Linked DNA regions of Oreochromis niloticus. The protein of the gene in region 2 interacts with the protein of the main gene of each other region in a pairwise test. Links are inferred from orthologs where the notes say so. Each region holds a gene or a part of one and is shown on either strand. Other genes may lie near its edges.

Region 1 (7,440 bases), on a different chromosome or scaffold from region 2:
TCCAATAAGCAGAATTTTAAGAATTTTTCAGTTGACGCAAGGGTGGCTGTCAAGAAGCCATTCTTATGCAAGGGAAACAAGAAGAAAAGGCTGAGGTATGCCAAGTTACACAAGAATATGACTGAAAATCAGTGGCAACAGGTCTCATGGAGTGAGGAATCCAAATGTGAAGTTTTGCATGCATGAACAGAGGAGGTCAGGAGCAAGTACAACCATGAGTTTCTAAAGGCATCTATAAACCACAATGGAGGCTATGTTGTGGTTTGGGTCTGCATGTCAGCCAGTGGTGTTGGGGATCTTATCAACATTATGCAAATATGAACATATAAAAGTACTGTTAGACATTCAGCGCCATCTTAAAACTAGCTGGCTGATAATAGTGTCACTTTTCAGCATGAAAGTGATTCCAACCCCACTGTCAGTTAAGCAAAAGCATATCTCGATAGAAAAACACATAATGTCACGCTCTCAATCATGGATTGGCCTCCCCGGAGCCTGGACCTGAACATTATTGAAGCATTGTGGGATCATCCTGACAGTGAACAGAACAACAGAACAGAGCTTGTCTAAAAGAGTTCCGGGTACATTTAAAAATAAAGCTGGCCAAACCAAACTTGACATTTTTAAGTCAAGTTAAAGGGTTTTTTTCCCCCTTATATACATTGTTATACTGTATTTTCATCTATGTTTTCCATTTTCACGGTAAAATATAAAGAAATAAGCGGTTGCTCGACATTTTTGTACAGTACTGTAGATTTTAACGAGCTAAATCTCCTTATCTAAACAATCACATGCAGCACAGTCATTTCACTAGGCGGCAGACCCTTTCTCATAATGCCAACAAGTTTATTTAGGTTAATAAGTAAACCATATGCTGTATATCAGCATAACAGACTTGGAGATAAATGACAAAGAAGTACTTCAATGAAAGTTGCTCTTTGCATTTATCTGCCAGCATCCTATTCTTATTCATCCATATTTATTTTCTCCATCTAAGGTGTCTGACCTCAAAAGAGCTCACAGTAGGTAAAATTCTCCTTCTCAGAGTCAGTTAGAACAAAAGACAACCTGATTTACAAACTCTTATCACCTTTGTGCCTCTTGAACACTACCAGTGGAGACTGGCAGGTCCATTATACCACAACAAAAGGTTGGTTTGTTATCCGTGAAGTGGCCACTTCATGTCTCCAAACTGCCGTGAACAGAGATCAAAGTCTGTTTGATGTTTTCAGATGCATTTTAAACACAGCTAAACTGAAGCAAGAGCATTCACGTGGTTTTCATGAACATATATATCTCCTCCATATCTGGTGGTGGATTTAGATTCATGGTGTGTTTATCCATGCAAATACAGCAGACCTAAGGCTGAATTCACATGCATGACAATCAAGAGAACTGGGAAAGAGCTGACCTCTCTGTCGCTCTTTCCTCGTCTCCATCCGCGGTTGGTGTCCTGCTGTGTGATGGCTCCACAATAGATATCGTCTAATTTAATCCACGCTGAGTCCTTGCCACTACAGAGCCAGTGTAAGGACAGGAAACCGCTCTGATCAGAATATGCATGAGCACTGTACGTCTCACATAAAAAGAAAAAGCAAAGTGAGTTGCAGCCATTACAGTATCTACTGTCATCATTACAATGATGAGGAACCCTCTGTATAAACATTTGGGTAGTTTCCTTGCCACTGATACAATAATAAGCACATAAGCAAGGTAAATAAGCAACGGTAATTGATTTTTATTTTTATTGCTCACATAATCTCATTTCCAGCGACTGCATGAGTGAATTTGTATGACCTGAAATGTAATTTGCTTCATGTTAGCCACTGCTCCAGAAATGCAAGTATTTGCATTTTGCTGTATAAAAAAGAAGATGGCCGATACTCGTCTGTCAAATAATCAAATTTGCCAGCAAATCTTTTGAGCATCTGTAACATCTTTTTTTTTCACCGTTGCATCCAGTGGTTCCCCAATATGATTCTGGGGCATGGGGGCTGGAAAGCATTGGGGGGGGGGGGGGGGGGGGGGCATGTGGGTGTTTTTAGATCACAGGCCAGTGACAAAGAAGATTATACTCCTATCAGTGTTGAAAAGGCTTTAAAATATTCTAACTTCTGCAATGGTAAAAAAATATAAAGCAAAATATAGGCAGATGTTGCTTAACCCTGTCCTAGCTGGCAGTTTTGTAGCTCTGGAGTACTGGAGTTGTCTATAATAGAGCATAAAACCCGTAAACTGCATTTAAAAAACAATATTCCAATGTGTTCTTTACATTGTTCATTTGTTTCTTTTTGTTAAGGTCACTTGTCGAGGTGGAGATCCATTTGACCACATTAAGCTGTCTGGGAAGCTTGCAACAATGACTAATATTTTATGAGCTGAGCTGTCATGTGTAACAAAGTGGAATTGTTTCCACTTTTTGTTTCCACTCTCAGAAATATTATGAAGCAAGGTACTTAGGTTCAGGGCCTGCTTTACACCAGAGAGCAGAGCACTAGGAAGCAGCAGTGTCAAAATCTGAAAGTGTGATGTGCGAATATAAAAGTTAAATTACCTTAATTGGAATATTAGAGGTTAAACTTTGCTGTTCTAATGAGATAAAACTCGATGAGTCTGTAAAAGCTCAGTAGGCTTTTCTCCCTAATAGGACTATAAATGTATGGGGTCTAATGAATGTGCTGCTGCCCTGTGTGTGCGTGTGTGTGAGGGGAATCCTCTAGCAAAAAAAAGTTTTGGGGACCCTTCCTCCTATCCCTTCTCATTATCATCATCATGATCATCATCGCCATCCCTTCCTCCCTCCCTTACACCCCCCACCTCCACCCACCCTCCCCGCTCGCACTGTTTTCCCAGATTTATTCACGTGCGGCTCGCTCCCGCCTCGCTCAGACATTCTGTCGCCAGCGCCGTGACGTCACCTGCGCCAGAAGCCTCCTCCGCTCTGAACGTTTCCCTCCGCCTGTCTTCAAGAGAATCTAGTCCCCCTCCCTCCTCACCGCAGCGACCCTGAACTTGATTAATGAACTGGCAAATACAGAAAGAGATGTTACTACACTTTTTTAAATATAATGAAAAAAACAACAAAAAACAATAACGATCGAAGCCCGTGTTTTTTTTGCCAGTGTTAAAGTATATTTAAGTCATCATTGTGTGTTTGAGCAAATTATTACACTGATAAGCCTGTGGTCACCCTTTGGACACTTTGTGGCGTTTTTGAACTTATATCTCATTTTTTCGAGGATCTCTAATAACATCTACAAGCTCTGACTGTTTAAAAAAGACTGTTTAAAGTTTACTTATCATTCAGATAAGTTATCGCGCTTTTGTCGCTTTTGTGACTTATTCACATCTGATCAGATAATGGGTTACTTCCCCTTGGGCCTCATGGTCAATTCAGAGTCTGCGGCACATGCACAAGTATGGACAGATTGGGCTCATTGGTGTGCAAGAAACTTTCATGTCCTCTGCAGCTGCTGTCCTGCAGGAAGGCTGTGTTTTCACGTGTCATCGTGCAGTACTCACTGGGACCCAAAAAAGCGTGCATCAGTGTCTGAGGAGGTGGGGATGGTGGCATGTATGAGCATGTTCCTGTGCTGACTGTGCTCGTGGGACACTTTTGTTCTTCTGGCTGAACTGTGCTTATCATGTCACAGTCAAAGCGAGACGGGAAACCGAGAGGTAGGCTTTAAGTTCAGGAGTTCACAGATAAACCACAGAGATGTGTCACTTAAAAACAGCCTCTCGGAAATATTACTGCTTTAGATAAAAGCGAGCTTTTTCAAAATATTTCCTCATTTACTCCCGATTGATGTCTGTTGTATTGGGGGAGACAACAGAGTGGTAAAGATTAAAGACTTATTACTTAGACTTATTATTTAGAGCCTCTTTTCCCCTGTCTCCCCAAAAACCCCGACATTTCACCTATCTTAACAGACACGTTTTGCACTAAAGAAACCCCACACCTTTGCACTAAAACCGTACCGTTTCGCTATTACATAATCCACTTCCACGCTCTCGATGAAGATGTTAGATGTGCAAAAAGTAGGTCTGCCTCTTGCCGGTGGGGCCGCATCTCGCGGCGGTGTGATACTGGCGCTCGGGAGAGTGTGAGACGGCTCCGCGACTCACTGACGCCAGGCCGAGCAGACCCACAGTCAGGCGGCGAGAGCACACAGGAGGAGCCAGCGACGCCGAGAAACAGAAAGCTACAGAGGAAGAAAAGGTGCGGTAAAGTTTTTCTTTTTTCACAGAATTATAAATGAAAACTGCCTTTAACTGTTTTTATTTCGGTAGCCACAGTGTGCTCGACTCTGTTTTTTTAAGGAAGTAGATCCCAGCAGTTATCCGCACATCACTGTCAGTTGGCAGCTTCAAACTTTTTTTCCTCTTTTTGCGCACAAGTTATCAGACAGCAGTGGAAATTTAGCCGCAAAGTTGTGTCTTGTACCAATTTTTTTTTACAAAAGCGGGAAAAAAGTGGGTAACTTAGGGAATTTAGCAGCAAAGGTTTCCCAAAAATGTTGTAGAAGCGAAGCTTTTCGTCTTAAAGCTAAACTCCCTTTAATTACCCTTAAATCACCGTAAAGGGTTCACCGGGACGAGCTTTTCCGTATTTAACCATGTAATCCATTTTCAGCTGGGAATGATGATTATTGTGCTATTTATAAACTACCGCTTTTCTTCTTTTTTTTTTTTGCTTTGCTTTTTTTGGGGGGGGGTGCATGCATTATGCGGATAAATGGGTGGTCTTTCTGTGTCATATGTTGTTATCTTGCTTCATCAACTAGCTGTTTAGTCTGTAACATTAAAAAAAGTGGAAGAAATGGCCACCAGTCGCCCGAGGGTTTCATCTTGTTCTGTGTAGAAATTAGTTTACGGTGACATTGAACAGAAAAACAGCCAAGCTTCTCCTTTTGAGAAACAAGAAATTGAGGATTTAGCAAGTTTTCTTTCCCCGTGATAAATGACTGAAAATGCTTGATAAACAATTATCAAGACTGCTCATTAAGTTTCTCATGATCACCTAATTAATTAGCTAAATCTCTTGATTTGAAGCGTTACACATTTCGAAATGTATCATATTTGGATGCCACTAAACCATATATCACTCTGTAATCAGTAAACACGTATTACACCTTGCCATTTTAAGCTTTAAGAAAGTATATTGTTGTAGTGTTTATTGATGTATAAAGACTTAACGTGGCTGTTCAGCTGATGCACTTCAGAGGACATGTGTCCCCATGTGTTTACGAATTTCTGCCTGTGTGAGAGTGCATGTGAGGGAAGATTGCAGAGGGAGGCAGAGACCTACAACAACTAGAGCTAGCTCTCTTGACATTATTGAAGATGACATATCAGATTACTCAAAGGACAGGAATTTGTCCTTGTCTGTGATTGCATTCTCAGTATGTTGTGCTTTAAGTTGTATTTACGACAGCTTTTTTTCCAGCTTAAAAATGAGCATGAAGCCTCTTGACTGTGACTGTCATTATCAGAGGCTTTTATGAGCTTGATATCTGCGTCGGTGAACACAAAGCATGATATTTTCCATCCACTGTAACAGCTGCTGATAACTAGTAAACTGCAAGGTCTCCATACGTTGCAGGTTTTCCTTTATGAGAGAGACTTAAACCAAAATAAACTCTTTAGTTGACAGTTTTAGACAAGCACTGTTGTTGTAGGATAAATAGAAGAAGAAACATGACAGATTTAAGTCTTGTGTCCCTGTGTCACTGTATGGTTGGATAACATGTCTGCTATGTGTTGGAGTGAAGTGTCCACCCTAACACAACACAAACCCAACGCTGAGTTACGAGCATGTTTGACATAGCACCATGAAAACCCATGTGTTTGATAGTTATGTCTGCTGTGGTAGATTGACATGTCTGGGACGCAAAGAATCTGATCCCAGTTCAACTTCATCAGAGTCTGAACCATCCTGACACTTCTTGTGCAGGTTTCTAGTGTTTTCCATATCAGCATTGGAAGGATGCTGAGCAGTGGATGTGACTTGTAGGAGCCCGTCAGGTCAATGCCATGACTGTGATTACTTCAGGTTTTGCTCTTAGACTGTAGTGTCTAGGTCTAGCTGTTCGGCGTTAATTCTAGGGCTGCTCATTTATGACAAAAGTCATTTCTCACGATTGCCATAGTGGCTTCATTGAACTTAAAATCATGCTATTTGAATGGTGAATATCCTTGACTCTTTGAATCAGTCTTTCAGGGAGAAAATCTGGAGTTTTATGGAATGACAAAAGTATTGTAGGTGGGGCTGAAAGCCAAATTGTGAGTGCAGCACAATAACTGTCTTGTTTTAAATATAGTTAGAAGCCAAAATTGTAATTAAAATTTGATTAATTGTGCATCACTAGCTAATGCTGTTTGCAACCAACTGAAGTAGTTATTAGGGAGCCTGGAAAAGTGAACTAATATTATATTACAGCAGATATGTTACTTTATGTTAGCCAGCAAATATCAAGAAGGTGCAGAATGCAATTATGCAAAGACATGCTGCTTTTGTAAGACTGTACAACAAGGAAAACTTGACAGGTTAATTATATATATATTTTTCATGTAAAATGTCCTTCTCTGTATTTATTTATTTATTTATTTTTTGCATAAAATGGCTAAAATTGGCAGCTTTTTTTGGTTGGCCCACAGTCCAAAGATATTTAGCTTGCAATAATATGAAACTGATAAATGTAGGACATCTGGCTAAGAAACTGGAACCAGAGATCTTTTGGCTTTTTCTTTTCTTTTCGTTTTTTTAAATGGCATGATTTAAATGACAAGTACTTCTAAGTACTAAGTACATTAGTACTAATTTTTCTTAGTACTAATGTTAATTTCTCAAAAGGATGTTAAAAATGACAGCTGGTCTCCTGTTTTAAAAGCAATTTGTTGACTCATTTAAAAAAAAAAAAAAAATTATATCCTAGCCTCGTTGTTAGAAATGGTATTCGTAAAGTAGCCTGTAGTGCATCCTTGTAGTGTCATGATTCACACAGTAATGCCCCTTGAAGGCTCTTGATGTTGAAGTACTAGCTGAAGAGACCAGATATGTGAGCGTTCTCCATATCTCTTCCTCCCAAACACTCAGCCTGTCTTAGATCTCAGGCATCACCATCACTCTCACTTACTTTTTTCCTTCTGTCTCTGCATCATTCCTCCTTTCTTCCTCTCGCTTTATCTATCACTCTCTTCTTTCCTGCACTCCACGGTTTATAGCCAGTGACTCCATTGAGCGGGGGTTAATGGAGGCCCTATCCAGGACCCTGCTGATAAATAATGTAGCTTCTTTATAATGCTCCATCCCCAGGGAGGGTCCAGAGAGCATCATTACTGCCTGCTCATCCTACACAGCCCAGGCCTAAATTGATTAACAGACACTGGAGCAGTGCAAAATGATCCATGGGGCTAGTGTAGTGGCTAACAGCTCGC
Region 2 (7,649 bases):
ATATCTCTCCCAAACGTCTTCTCAAAACTGTGTTTCTAAGTTGCACAGCATGTCTATTGTTCTTTAAAATTAGGAGCCTTCATAAAGCCAGCGTCTCGCTGCCACTAAATTCTTTCACCGAAGACTTACTGTTGACAAGATCACAGATAAAGATGAGCCTCTCAACTGTTGTTAACCTTGATGCGCTCACGAGTGACCCAATCTCAACCTGTGGAAATGACGTCAGTCGCCAAGACTAAATGCGGACGCTTCGTTTGCCAAGAAATTTTCAGTAAATGTTTTCGATTCTTTGATAACCCTGCCGATCCAAACCTATCACTTGGTATCCGTCAGCCTTTTGCTCCCGAATCAAAGAGTTGTGCTTCAAAGATGTGAAGGTGACTCTATTTATATGACTGTGATTTTATCCCTCACAGAAAGGGGCAAAGGAGGCACAGGGGAGGTCCAAGTGGGGGGTCTCAATTGAGGCGGATTATTTTTATTAACCTAAGCAAATCTTTGTAATTACGGGAGATTAAACACTCGAGATTTAGTAAGACATGGTGTGCAAAGGATGGATGTTAGGTGGATGTAGAATCAAAGGCCTTTTAGTTGCCAGAGTTATCCTGTTAAAGTCGTTTTGTCCAGGATACTGTCCAAAGAATTACTTCAATTACCATCGAGGAGTAATTAATGGGTCAACTTCAGCACGTTGGAGATAAGTCACGTCTTTATTTGCAAAGACCATTAATGTCTCTTGCAGCCATCGACGGCGACAAGGTTACAGAAAAGTGAAGCGTATGAATGACAAATTAGAAAGGTTCACTTCCGTTCTTGATATAAACCCTTTTAATATTGGATCGTTCAACACCTTTATTTAATTTGTTACCAAATGCCTTTTATTACTTAAATTATTAGCTAGTGGAAAAATTATTTTTTCATATGTAACAATAAATTACTGCATATATACATGATTTTTTTTGTAGTTCAGCTAACATAATTATATATTTTGTTTAAAATCTGTCTTAAAGATAAAAACTGTCTGTGGTTACTATTAAACTGTATTATATTGTGTTCTGTAACTGTGCAGGATATTTTACTGGCTAATATAGTTTATTTTTTCTGTATGCAAATAATTATTTCCCTTGACTTGAAAATTTGTTATTTCATTAACTCATTCATTTCTACATTTGATTAAGATTTATCTTTTAATGAAGGTTTTGTTTCAGATCCTTATGGAATAAAAATCTCCTTTAAATCAATTATGACATGTTGTTTGAACATTTCTAGACCTTTTTCTGTAGTTATGTTGTAATATCAACAAGAAGGAGATTTAGCTGAAATATATCAGATTTATTTATGTTACAATGTACAGATCAAACATCATGCATCAAAGTGCTGAAATGAACATTTTTGGCAATGTTGATTGATTTTATAGTTACAGAAAGTTATTGTTTGTGTGTTTTTGATCAGTGGAAGATTTCTTCAAGCAACACCACATTATGTGCATACTCTCTGCCTGCTTCTTCTACTGCTTAACTGAAGCTGTATCAGACTTACAGTCTATGGTAGGCTATACAGTCACCAGCCACTCTGTTAGGCACACCAGTAATCTGACATGATTGCACAACACAGTGCTACAGATTGGTCAGTAAAACTTTATGGGTGTAATTCCCCTCTAATAAACATATATTTCAACATAGTTTATTTTAAAATACAATATAATTATATTTACAGGTAGGCGCACTAAAATAAGGGGGTTTAAAGTTGGGTTTATCCAGGAAGCAAAGAAGTGATTAAACTATAAATAAATTTAAGTATCACATAAATATTCACATAAATACAAATAAGTATTTTGAAGTAAAGTTCGACATTATAATGATGGAGGCATTTCAATTTTTTCTTTCACAATCACTGTTCAAACATAACTTTGAAAAGAAGTGTTTCCTTTCCTGCAAAATACATGGAAGTTAGGTAAGGTTAAGCACTCCATAATATGGCCCGTAAGATGGAGAAATATTGTTTGTTTTTCCACAAAACTAACATGAAATTCCACACTACTTAAAATGCAGTACTTGAAAAAACTTACAGGTTATTTAAATTTACTCACAGCATAATTATTTCTTTAATTCCTGCAAAATCCTGCGTCGTTACCCTCTAATTCTATTATTTGTTGTTAAATACAATTATGTTGTAATTTTAAATAAAGCACACTGAAATTCCTTTTAATTACAGGGGAGTTACACCTTTAGTTGCAGATATTATTATAAAGTGTTACCGATTTTCAGCTGCACATCCATTATGTGAATCTTCATTTTACCACATCCCGAAAATGCTCTGCTGGGCTTAGATCTGGTGACTGCGGGCGCTGATTGAGTACTGTGAGATCACTCTCGTGTTCAACAAAGTCGTCTGAGATCATTTTAACTTTGTGATGTCATGCGTTGTCCTGCTGGAAGACACTGCGGTACACTGTGGTCATAAAAAAGGATGGACATGGTCAGCGAGAAACACTCACAAAACCTGTGGTGTTTAAACAATACTCAGTTGCTACTAAGGACCCCAAAATGTGCCAAGTAAATATCCCCCACACCATGACACCACTGACAGCAGTCTGAACCAATAATACAAAGCAGGATGGATCCATGCTTTCATTGTTCACCCCAGTTCTGACACTTGCATCCAAATGTTGCAGCAGAAATTGAGAATGTCATTTTGTCCAGTTTTTGTGAGATCATGCAAACTTTAGTCTCATTTTCTTAGCTGACAGAAGGGTCAACATGTGTGTTCAGAGATGCTCTTCTGCCTCGGTTGTAACGAGTGGTTAATTGAGTTTCTTTAGTTTGCCTGTAAGTTCCAAACAGTCTGGCCAGAACCTCTGCTCAATGGATATTTTCTCCTTTTCAAATCATTCTCTGTAAATCCTAGAGACGGCCGTGAGGGAAAATCACAGTAGATCAACAGTTTCTGAAATACTCAATCCAACACATCAGATACTGAAACCCATATCATGGAGATAGTCACCTAAATCACCTTTCTACACCATTCTGGTGCTCAGGACTTCAACAGCTCATCTTTACCACGTCTATGTGATATTTGCATTAACAGGCATTTGAACAAGAGTACCTAAAAAAGTTTATTTGAATCCAGTGTGCCACAGTTATTCAACCTTTGTGTTGTTTTTTTTTTTATTCTGAATATCTCTGGGATCTTACACAAATAAAAGTGTATTTTCAGCAGAGAATGGATAACAATGTAACTTTGTTAACATTAAGTATAATTAACCCACCCTGTTCTCGTAGCATTTACAGCTTTAGCCTGTACGCATTAGCCGTATGGCGATCTGCTTTGTTCTTTCAGTTTAACAGAGGGGATGAACTTAATGGCAGTCAGGTCAAATCATGGACCATATTGCCCTCTTCTGTTTAAGTAATGGAACAAGACATGCATGCACAACATTAAAACACTACTCTATGCAACCTTTCAAGTTATCGTTGTAATTAGTTTTATTAAATTATTTTCAGCCTCATACTTCAGTAACTACAAAAACATGAAGAGTTAGAATTCTAAAAATAACGGCCTTTACTGTGTAAAACATGAAGCTGAGATTATGGGCTTTGTTTTGAGGGGGAGGTGCACTAAACAGAGACAGATTCATGAATAACTGAACTAAGGGAATCTCAGATTTCCCATTTAAGTTTTATTTGTAATTTAAATTAAGATAATCTTCTTTTTATAAGTCAGCACAGAAGCAGAGCAATCTGTTCTTTTGGAAATACAGCACTGCTTTATTGACGTTTCCCATCCAAAACGGAGCCACAACAAAACACGCCATGTTATTACATGATACTGCAATTCCCTCAATTGATTTTTGTTTTTCCATGAGGCTATTCTTTGCCCACATGTGAGGAGTTTTGGAAAAGCAGGGCTGGATCTTCAATCGGAGCAGACATTTCCCTCAGCAAACATATTTCCATTTTGCTGATGTCTTAACACAACCTGGCATTTGTGATACATAGAAGGTATTACAGGACTATACCTACACGAGTAAGTGTGTTTTCTTAATAAGTCGTTTTAATTTAATTATGAACATGCCTCAGACAAAGCATTAACGCCACATCTCACGGTTGGTCGCCTAACCTGAAATGGAATATTTTGCTCGGACGGGAATTGAAGGGACCATGCGACCCAATCCACTTGACAGCCCATGCTTTCCCGTCACGCTGAATTTAAACTATCTTTAAGACACGAGTTCAGAATATCGCAAAACTATAAAATTGAAACAGTCTCAATATTAAAATACTTTGACACGTGGTGTTATTAATCGACACAGAGGCCTATTTTGGAAGGGAGACCTGCCTCTTAGTGTTTTTTAAAAGTTGTGCTGTAACTTTAAAACAACGTGGTCCCGCCTATTTTCAGCGAATCGCTTCGGATGCTGGCAAAAGTCGCGCTGTGATTGGCTGGAGATGACTGTCTATCGAAGCAGGGTCATTGTTCCATTGGTGCAAGACTGGCCGTCGTCTCTGACTCTCGCGGTACTGCTGCACGAAGATGGCGGCCGAACTGGTGGAAGCGATGGCAAGTAGAGCTTGGTTGGCTTTGATTTGATAGGAGACGTGCGCGGGAGTGTGGGCTGAAAGTCATCCCAGTTGTGGGGAAACTGTGGGTTTTGTGCGAATATTATTAAAGGGTATTTATTCTTACAAATGTGGTGTATTTCAAGCACGACGAAACGAACTAGCCTATGGTGCTAAGGTAGCTAGCCTGCCTGGAAATGTTAACCAGGCAAGTGCGTTGGTTCACCTAGCATCACGCTGGCTCTGGAGGAAGACACCGAAAATGAATGATGAGACCATATAAGCGTGTGGTTGTTTTTGGTCTAGCCTGCTTTCTGGCATGTTACCGTTTTGACGTTATTTGGCTTACAGGAATATCTGTCTGTAGTTCACCAGTTAGTTTATGAACTGTGCACCTGTCAAAATATCTAGCAGTCGTGATTGAATGCCGAGTGTGAGAAGCTAGCCCGGCGATAGCACAGGCTACACTAGCAGCATTCAAGTGAGGTTGAGCAGTCTGTAACGCAGCTGTATTTGAAGCTCAGCGGTTCAGTCGGATCCATCCATAAAGTCCTGGTTTTTAATATAGACATGAAGCAGTTCTCCACTAATGTCTATTTCGGCCATGTCAGACAAAGCTGAGGCTTGTCTGGCGGCTAAACAACAACATCCCGTGTTTTGCCCCTAGAGCCCAGTTCGCGTGCTGTCTACTTCATCATAAATAAATAATAATTGTCTTTCTTTTTTCTTTTTTTTTTTAACGACCTCACATAGGATCATACGACCATACACGGTATTCATATAATTGATTCCACATGTTATGCAAGTATTGTTTAAAGGCTGGAGAAAATTGGCGCACATTATGTCGAGAATAAGAGATTTTGCGTTTACTTTGCAGTTCAATGTGTGTCGGCACCTCATATGTTTTTACTAAATAAACATCCTCGCCTGCTACGGTGTGTCTTCATCTTACATTTTTCGAATTAGTGTACAAATGAGGTTGTTAAGCCATAAACGGCAAATTAAAATTATATTAAACAGTTAATGGAGCCATAAACATGCAGAATTTGCAAAGCCGTATTTGTCTTACATTTGATGTGGACTGTAAACAGATTTATACATATAGGCTTGTATGTATATGTTTCATGTAGGTAAGAACTATTGCACTATTTGCACATTTCTAGGCCACTAACAAGAAATAGTAGTTTTTAGGCACCTATTTCATTGTAACTGAGCCTGCCAGACTATTCCTTTAGCTTTCTGTGTGTTAAATGACAGATAGTGTGGATGGAATTAGTGTGTTTCCAAGTTCTATTCATACTTTTAAGCCACCTTTGGAAGTTTATGGTTCTAAAGCCTAATTAACACTACCACAATTAGTGTGATCACTTGAATCATGGCCAAGCCATTGTTCCCAGAGTTGGAAGTGAACTTCTTAATATAGCCAGCTAATTACAACACACGTTAAAGCCTCTATAGGATTAAAGTGACCAAGGACAGATGCTAATTTTAGCAAGTACCAAGCAGTTTGGTGAACTCCTCTGTTCTGCATATAAGTTACCTGTAATTAACTCTGTGCATCTTCCAAGGGTTAAAAAGAGGTGTGTAGGTGTGTTTACGCAGGACTTTGCACACGATATTAAATTATTTAATTCATTTGCCTTTCCAGAAATCTAATTGTTTTTGTGCTCCTCCTGTTATATTTTTTTTTATTTTTTCGTCTTGTTTTCTCACTAGAATATGGTCAAAAGTTTCCGGGTCTCAGACCTGCAGACGCTGCTGGCCTCAATGGGTCGCAGCAAAAGTGGGCTGAAGCAAGACTTGGTGGGGCGTGCGTTGAGGCTAGTGCAGACCGAATACAGTCCAGAGCTGCTGAAGAACGTCCGGCAGCTCTACGAGTCACGTTTCCCTAAAACATCTGGTTGGCTGGCTGCACGGCGTCCGGAAAGTGTCCCAGTTAACTACTCATCCCTCAGCTCTTCCCCTACTGCCACCTCTCAGGGCGCAGACTACCTCAACGGCATTTCCAAACCGATCACCACACCTGCAGCAGAGGTGAAGCTAGTGCCACTGCCCTTCTACCAAACTTTAGAGACACTGCTACCACCAACAGAGCTAAGTGAGTGTGGACTATTTGTTAGGCTTTTTGTGTCTGTTTGTGTTTTTGGGAAATGTTGCATTTTTACTCAACGATGAGAATTTGCACTGTTCTCTTTTTACAATGGATTTTGTCTCCATCTCCTTACAGTTGCCCAGAACAGTGAGAAACTCCAGGACAGTCAGTGCATCTTTGAGTTAACACCCAGCCAAGCAGACCAGATTCGAAATGCAAGGTAAAAAGTCACATTGTCTGTTAAAACTGCACTTTAGGTTAACCCCAGGTTAATATAACCTGTGAAGCTCATTTTAATCTGTGACCTATTATTTTCTTAGTGAACTTCGTCCAGGAATCCGATCAATCCAAGTGGTTCTTAGGTAAGTTTCCAGTAAAACATTGGTGGGGGGGGGGGACTTTTTTGGTAGTGACTGTGTCATAAAACTATCATCATTCAAACAAACGAGGACAAATTGCTTCTTTGTATATACAGTGTTTGTGTTTAGTCTCTTAAAATAGAAGACCTCACTCATTTATTCCTCTGTTACTGCTCTCTGTTGCAGAATCTGTTACACAGACTCCATTGGTGTTCAGGAGGACCAGTATCCTCCCAACATAGCTGTCAAAGTTAATCAGTCCTACTGTCATGTGCCGGTGAGTTGATTAACTCTGAAATGTCCCACACCTTCATAATACAGACATGACTTAAGCTGGGCTTGTTTTCCTGTTTTGAAGTGTGTTCTCAATCATAGCTCATAGCATCGTTTTCAGATACAGTCAGGGTGTCTCTGGGTGTCAGTCACAGATGTTTTACCAGGTCAGTGATAAAATGTCGTAATATGACAGTGATGGATAATATAACCTAATGTAAGTGTGTCTTGAACAACATAAAGGGGAAAAATAAGATTTGGTTAAAGATGGTGTTGGCTTATCTGAAGACCTCAGGAAACAAAACTTTAGGAGGAAGCTGTCCAGCTGGCCGTCACTATATGGCTTAAGGTGTGCCACAAGAAATC
Region 3 (7,863 bases), on a different chromosome or scaffold from region 2:
TCTCCTCTTCTCCTGACTAACTGGCTGGCTGGTCGCCTAACTGGTCATTGTTTAACTCCTGCAGTTGTAGACAGCAAGATGATGAGCAAACGAGCAAAAAAACAACACAAAACACAGAGGACAGGATGGGAAATTATGTAGATCTCACACTATTCTAGCTACAGTGTGAAGTTTAACACACTGAAAACTGACTTCGCCTTGTTTGACATAACTTGATGCCACTTTCCTGCACAGAGGAAGAGAATGACAGCAGGAGCGATGTGTGGACTGAAGTGCACAACTAACACTGTTGCAACAGCTACGCTTTAGATGTGGAAGAAATTACAACAAAGCCTCTCTTCTGTTCTGTAAGACATCAAACCGGGAAATGGGGACAGTGACACCCCCAGCTATACACACACAGACACACACTAGAGACACACAAGCCCTCACCCTCATTCTGTTGATTAATTCAGCTGATAAAGACTGGCTGGCTCCAGAGACGCCGCTGTCTGTCTGTTTCTCCCTGTGCTGCGATTCACAATAGATAGACGAACACACAAACAAACTCCCTCCCCCCCTTTAGCCACACACACACACACACACACACACACACACACAGGCTGCCCCCGGTGATGTGCCAGTCAGTCAGTCTATAGCTGGTGTCTCAACTTTGTACTGCCTTGCCCTGGCTGTCAGCCATGCTGGAAATGGCTAGCCAGTCAGCCAGGCGTGCCACTCCACTGCTATCATAAATCACAACATAACATGGAGCCATTTCCTACACACACACACACGCACTGGAGAGGCACAGACAACACAAACATTCATAAATGCAATATAGCCTTTTAGATGGAAATGTTATGCAAAAACAAATGCGCTTCTGGCAATAACATGAATGCATGTATTTATGCATGAACAGCAAGCTCACCTGGTGGTTTAAGATAGTCCATGGGATAGCGGGAATATGGTGGAGGAGGAGACTCTGTATGGAGAAAAAAAATGAGTACATGAGGAAAAAAAAGGGGGAAAACAAGGGAGAGATCGAAACTTTATGATAAGATTTGTCATTTTTCAGGGGAAAAAGATTTGTGTCTGTCAGCTCCGCCTGGAGAGGCAGGCTGAGAGGCCGGCTGGGCGGCTATTGCCTTTCATTGGCAGGCAGATAAACAGGGGGGGGCCGCCTGGCGCCAGAAGGGCCACTATCAGCGTCTAGGACAAACTGAGATACGGGCCTCTTTTGGCCCGGGACGCCAAGCAAACGCGCGCACTCAGGCGAGCGAGCGAGCGCGTGCACGCACATACACACAGAGACCCTGGAAAAACTTCACTGTGGAAAGACTGGAAGACTGTAAAGCCCTGTGCACTTTGGAAATGCCATCTATGAAAGGTTTAAATAGCAGAAAGGCTTTGTTGTTGTTTGGAAAGCGCATATTTGAAGTGCCAAAAAAACATAAAATAAAGCATGTTTGGATACACGTTACCGTTTTTACAACACGGCCAATCAATCAATTATTATTTTAGTCAAATGACATGCCAAACTCGGATTTAATGACGCCACACTTCCGAAAAGATGGGAAGGTGGAGGGGGGTTTGGGGGGTGGGGGGTCTCAGCACGCTAGTTTGACCTTATGGAAACTCAACACAACTGTGCCAACAGAAGTGATGTCATTTGAATTAGGCTAATTAGCTCTTTAGGTAATTGAACTTGAACTTGCTCTGAAATAAGGCCAGAGAATGCCAGAGAATTCAAAATACTTGCTGCCAATAAACAGATAAATAAATAAATAGATAATGTCTATTTTCATAAAAATCCAACTCACCGAGTTCACAGAGCCTGCTCATGTGGTGGGGATTGCAGCAAATGAGCTCTGGGTTGATTTTCCCGTAGGATTCACAGCAAGACAGCCTCTTCAACTCCGAGGAATGCCTGAGGTCCGGCCACCTGAACACTTTGTAGAGCAGCATGGGGAGAGAGTAAGACTGTTGACCCACTTTGGCGTCCACTTTGCTGGGCAGGAGCAAACAGGGGCTGCGGGCACCCCCTTTGGACTCCACTGCCTGCAAAAGCACCTCCAATTGTTTCTCTTTGATCTTTTTCAGTATCGAGTGGGTCAACGCCTTCAATTCAGCCTCCGACCCTGCGTTGGACTTGGCCACCTTTGTCGTTTTGCCCAAGCAGCAGCCCCCGGAGCCATGCGTCCCTCTATCCGTTTCCCCGTCGCCCTCCACGGGCGCACGGCTCCTCCAGAGTCGCCGGACGAGCCCCGATCGTTTGGTCCTAAACATGCGGGACGAAAAGAGGGTTTCCCGGCTAAAAAACGAGCATTGTGTCCGCAAATCATGAAGATTCCGGGATCCGAGTCCAGGCGGTGATAAGCAGCCTGAGAAAAGACGGTGGAAAAACTGGGGTCTGGACAAGCAGAGGAAATCTGTAGCATACGCCAGTCTCTTTCGCCGTCTCCTGCACCCCAGATCACCAAAAAGAAAGAAAAAAGCAGGCAGGGTTCACGGGACAGTTAACTTTTCCTCCGGGGATAAGTCACCATCACCATCGGGAATTTAAGACTTGTGTCTGATGACGAAAACCTAGCAGAATGTGATCGTTAATAGCGAATGGGGGAGCAACCCTGCTGCGCGGAGCCTAGATGTGTTACAATTTTCACTTGGTGATGTGCAACCCAGAGCAGTGAGCTGACCCCTTAAAAATACTCCAGGCAGATTTTTCAGCAAATAAACACTGCTTTTAAAAAAAGAAAAGCAAAGAAAAAGAACGAAAAAAAGCTTTCTGCCAGTGCGCAGTAGCTTTAATGGAAATTACAGAACGTGGGGCCTAATTAAGCCTAAAATGCTATGGCAATTATCCCATGAAAACCGAAGCTCGCTGCCGTGTCTTCAGGAGCATTAATCCACAAAAATCCGTGATCCAAACTGCACAGAGTGCGGTTCTCCACCGGGCATGCGGAGGCTTTTTTTTATTTATTTATTTGTTTATCCGCTATCGTCCAAATATGCCAATCGTCTGCAGAGGATGTGGTCTGCCCGAGTTGAGATGAGCCAAGGAGCAAAAATCCAGGTCTGAATCTCTCACCCAAGTTGAGTTGCGTTTCTAAAGCCCGGAGAGAGAGAGAGAGAGAGAGAGAGAGAGAGAACACTCGTCCAGCCGCCGAGCCTTTCGACCTGTTTCAGCACACAGGCGAACCTTTTTCTTTTTCTTGTCTGAGCGTTAAAATAATCCCAAGCTCGTATCTCACGCGAAGTTTCCGTGGAAGAGAGAGCGAGCCGCCGACTGCGATCTCGAGGGGGAGTATGAGGCTCTCTGTAAATGAGGCGGATGGTTTGGGTGCCCTTGCTCCGTCTCCAGTCTCCAGTGCGCATTGACGCGCCCGGTCACGTGTGTGTCTAGACACCCTGTCGCTTAAAAGAAATGTGATTGTGTGTTGCGCAAACAACAGATCAAGCAGAGCCTGCGGCGCACACACACACACACACACACACACACACACACACACGAAAACCTTTGAAAGGAGGAAAGTTTGGGGGCAAAAAGTTGCCAGAAGGGTAAAGTTGAAAATAAAAGGGCAGTTGAGAAACTGTGAGATGATATAAAGTCTTACAAGAAATTTCTCTCGTCACTGTTTAATGCTGAATAATTGGCAGAGCGATAATGACGTAAATTTGGCCCCTTTGTGTCATATAAAAGTTTTTTCTAAGTTTACTTGATGATTGTAAACTCAAATGTTCTTTTCAAGCTCCAACAACGTCTAATAGCTCTGTTATCTCAGCTTTACTAACACTGGCTTCGTATTAAAGCAGCTCTGTTGCTGATGTGTGAGTGTGTGTCATTTAAGCTAGAAACACTCTGATTTCCACCTTTTTTCTCGTAATATAACATTTGCGCATTTGTCATCATGATTACTCAGGATGGTTTGGCTTGGGAGGGGGCTGCGTAGGATGGTCTCAAGGGCGACACTTCAACCACTCACCGGATATGTCGGGTCGTAGATGAAGCTGGTTCAGATTAGGGATTTTTTTAACGTATAAAAAATGTGCCTGCAAGACTTAACACAGGGAGGGAGAGAGAGAGCGAGAGAGCGAGAGCGGCCACTGTGTCCCAAAGCCAGACGGGAGCGCGCTGCTGCCGCCCTCTGGACGTTTGGTTTCCAGGTGGGACGAGCATCACCAGTTTTCTGCCTTTTAATCATCAACACGGCGGTTTCCACCCTCTTTTATTCATCCAGCGCTCTTGCCCATCACTTTCCCGACTTGCCTGACAACAGATGGGATGTGCCCACATGACTGCTGTCTTTATTATCGGCCGAATCCATATTTATTATGACAGGCGCAGCGGTTTGATTCTTACCGTTTCGATCTGTTTTGCCGTATTGTGTGTCGCTGAAGAGGCAAAACACAAACAACGTCATTTAAGTGTGACAGCTTATTTCTCTATATGGGCACACATAAATGATCTGTTCTCTCAATAAACTCATTTTTATTCAAATAAATAAATAAATGATTCACACTTTGAACCCAAAGTGTCCGAGGCCCTCAGATAGGATCTCCTAGCATCTACCAAACCCTTTGCAACGTGCGCATGAATAATATGCGTGTGTCTGTGTTTGTGTGTGTGTTACCTACATGGCTTCATGGGTTTACCTCCACAGACACAAGTCCAGAGGAGGAGGTGACAGGGGTGCTCCGGGGGCAGATGGGATGGGTGTCTGATAATGATGATTGCAGAGATGTGCGGGGCTGGGTAGGGGGGTGGGGGCAGAGGTGTGCATGGGGGTCGACGGATGGGGGTCGGGCTACCCGCATTGTCCCAGGATCACCCACTGGCGCCGAGCAGGAGGAGACTCAACAGCCCAAACAACGCAGGGGACTGCGCCTCTTTTTTTTTCTTTTTTTGAAGAAGTCTGGAAGCAATCAGTCAGGGGAAAGGGTCTGTCAGAGGTATTGTGGAAGTCGCTGCAGACGCACGCTGTCCCCTCCCCTCTCCCCCTCTCTCCCTCTCCACTTCTCCCTGCCCTTCCTTTTGTGTGTGTGACTGACTATTCCCCAGACTCCAGGAAGTAGCCAATTTTATCTAACCAGTTTCCATTTCAGTCTGGCGAGGAATGTCTGCAATAAGGTGCAGGACTAGGACTCATTAATATATATATTTTTTCCTCCCTGCCTGATAACGTTTTCATGTATTTTTAAACCACACCTGATAATAACTGAAGTAAATACTGAATGGTGCATTCACATGCTTGGTGGAGTCCTGTAATTTGGTGTTGCGAACACTATATTTGTGGAACCTGTCCCCCACACCTCTCCAAACTAACACGTCAAGGTCTTTTATTGGATTTTTGACAGTATGACAGTACAGCCATTAAAACGACATGCACTCACTGGACTCTGTACATATCGATAGAACCACTTTGGACTTCTTTTTGCTTTCAGAACTGTTTTAATTCTTCGTACAACAGATTCAACAAGATGCTGGCAATATTCCTCTGGGAGCTTGGTTAATACTGACATAATAGCATCACACAGTTGCTGCAGACTTGTTGGCTGCACATCCACAATGTGAATCTCCCATGCCACCACATCCCAAGGCTGCTCTATCGGATTGAGATCTGGTGTTTGTGGAGGCCATCTGAGTACAGTGAACTCACTGACATGTTCAACAAACCAGTGTAAGGTGATTTGTACAGTGAGTCCATGAGAACTGTAGCCTCAGTTTCCTGTTCTTGGTCTACAGGAGTGGCAGCTGGTGTGGTCTTCTGCTGCTGTAACCCATCTGCTTCAAAATTTGAAGCTCTAGCTTTTAGCGCAGCAGTCCCATCCACCTGGTGCTTAAACCCTTTGTTTGCAAGGGGCAGCCAATCAGAAGAAAGCTGGCTAAAAGAGAAAGGAATTGCTCATTTCAGAAAGTGGATGACCCAAGGGGGCTGTACCATCATCCAGTATAAAATGAATTATTACTCTGAACTGTGCAAAAGCTACTCCAGCAGGGTCCAAAAATAAAAATGGAGCTGGAAGTGCTTTCTGGTTGACAACTGGAGTGTGGTTCTAATGTTCTCACATCCTAAGGCTACATACAGCAGGCTTAGTTTCATGTTTCCCCGCCTGTTCACAGTCTTTGTGCTGAGCTAGCTTCCAGCTTCAGCCTTATGTATTCATAAGGCATATATACAGCAGTCTTGCTCATCTAAGTCTCAACAAAAAGTGAATAAATGTATTTCTAAAAGCTGCTGAGCTGTTGCTTTAAGAGCCTTGTTAAGCTCAATCAAGTGACCCTGCAGAGGTGATTCAAATGAGGGCGTGCAGTTGGCTAAAACAGCATTACACAGCAAGAGGGATGATTAATATTCTAGACAGCAGCCCAAGCCTTTACTATAATTTATTGACACAGTGACTGGTTTCAGACGAGTGGGGGTCACACATATGCAATTAAACAGGCTTATTATGTGTGAATGAGAATGTTAAGAATAGGGTGAAGACTGCATGCAGGCAGGCAGCCAGTCACTGGGGAGATAAGAATGATAGAAATAAGGCAACTTTAATTAAATAGATAAGAGAAAACTTTAAAAATTCACAACTTGCACATCCGATGTCACAACAGGAAGGATGGAAAACACCCACACTGGTAAATGACGCAGCCTGTTTAAAAAAAAAATAAACAAATCATGCTGTGAAAAAGCATAAAAAAGGAGGAAAAAAACCTATTCATCGTGTGTTGAGAAAAATGTACAATTATCAGCATCTCCAGTGGGGTTTGCTCTATAATGAATGAGAGAAAGCTTCAGTCTTGTGCTCAGACATGCGGTATGACCCACATTTTATCCCAGAATGCTAATGTTAGCTACAGACCTACCAACCTGCCCCAGACTCCTTTTAGCCAACTGAATGTTCAAAGAGTGAGTTACTCTCCTACGCTAAAAATGTCAAAGTCTAATGCAACAGCCTGGCGATAAATTTTACCTTCATGAAGGTCGTGATCTTCAGTTTTAGCTGAAATGATTAAGAAAAGTATTACTCCAAATATTGATAATATCGATACCAGCGCTGGTATCAGTATCGGATCGATACTAGCACGATAGGATCGATACTTTCTATCCTCAAAATTCTGTATGTAGCCCACTGAATAGTGTTAAATAAATTCTTATTCTTTTGGAAATGAAAAAAAATATAACACAAACATGAACTATGAAAAATGTACCTTTTTGTCGCCTGCCAGGTCTAGTAGATTTACAGCCTATATTTAAACAACAGAAGCTGACAAAGCGCTTTAGAGACTAGAGATTTTAATTCTTGATCTACAAAACATTTAGTTTCAAAATACATGAAAGTATGAAAGTGTGTTTTATTATAAAATGTGGAATGTAAACATCAAATCGTGTAGTGTTCGAGTGTTCATGTGTGTTCAGAATTTGCAAATCAATAATGATTCATCTCAAAAATCATGACACACTGCTCTCCCCTATATAAGCTAACTTTATAGGTTAAAAGTGTTGGTATCAGTATTGGTAATTCTGGCCCTGTATTTACTTGGTATAGGATAAACTGCTAAGTTAATGCTGGGTAAAACCTGAGGACTGGGGTGTAAGTTCAGAACTTCATCTTTAGCCGACAGTTGCTCAGTATGTAGCTCGTGCCCTGCAGCCAGTGGTCAGTCAATACAAAGAAACCCCTCAATTCAATATTAATAACTTTTAATCAATCCAGACTTTTAAGTTGGATCAAAGTGAGCCTGACACGTTGAGATGCAACAATGTTATTTTACACCCAATTACACGTGCAAAGTGCACTGAAGCTCAAAGAGTTATTATAGATGTTATATAAGATTCAAGTTTTCATATGAGAAGCATTTTGTCTTGTCCAAGGGGCTTTTGTCTT

The links. The genes of interacting proteins can lie anywhere in the genome.
Region 1: the proteins of pias4a (region 2) and smad1 interact in a two-hybrid assay, tested with the Homo sapiens proteins (2 studies listed by BioGRID and IntAct). The link is inferred for Oreochromis niloticus from reciprocal best matches to the Homo sapiens genes PIAS4 and SMAD1.
Region 3: the proteins of pias4a (region 2) and smad7 interact in a two-hybrid assay, tested with the Homo sapiens proteins (2 studies listed by BioGRID and IntAct). The link is inferred for Oreochromis niloticus from reciprocal best matches to the Homo sapiens genes PIAS4 and SMAD7.

Annotation. Positions count from the first base shown.
Region 1 is NC_031971.2:16,424,638-16,432,077, reverse strand, and holds the start of smad1 (mothers against decapentaplegic homolog 1), read left to right. Parts: upstream 1-4,052; 5' UTR 4,053-4,222; intron 4,223-7,440. UniProt on the Homo sapiens protein: Transcriptional modulator that plays a role in various cellular processes, including embryonic development, cell differentiation, and tissue homeostasis.
Region 2 is NC_031986.2:34,312,091-34,319,739, reverse strand, and holds the start of pias4a (E3 SUMO-protein ligase PIAS4-A), read left to right. Parts: upstream 1-4,438; 5' UTR 4,439-4,533; coding exon 4,534-4,560; intron 4,561-6,275; coding exon 6,276-6,657; intron 6,658-6,786; coding exon 6,787-6,871; intron 6,872-6,971; coding exon 6,972-7,013; intron 7,014-7,196; coding exon 7,197-7,287; intron 7,288-7,649.
Region 3 is NC_031972.2:18,262,989-18,270,851, reverse strand, and holds the start of smad7 (mothers against decapentaplegic homolog 7), read right to left. Parts: upstream 3,389-7,863; 5' UTR 2,269-3,388; coding exon 1,803-2,268; intron 965-1,802; coding exon 911-964; intron 1-910. UniProt on the Homo sapiens protein: Antagonist of signaling by TGF-beta (transforming growth factor) type 1 receptor superfamily members; has been shown to inhibit TGF-beta (Transforming growth factor) and activin signaling by associating with their receptors thus preventing SMAD2 access.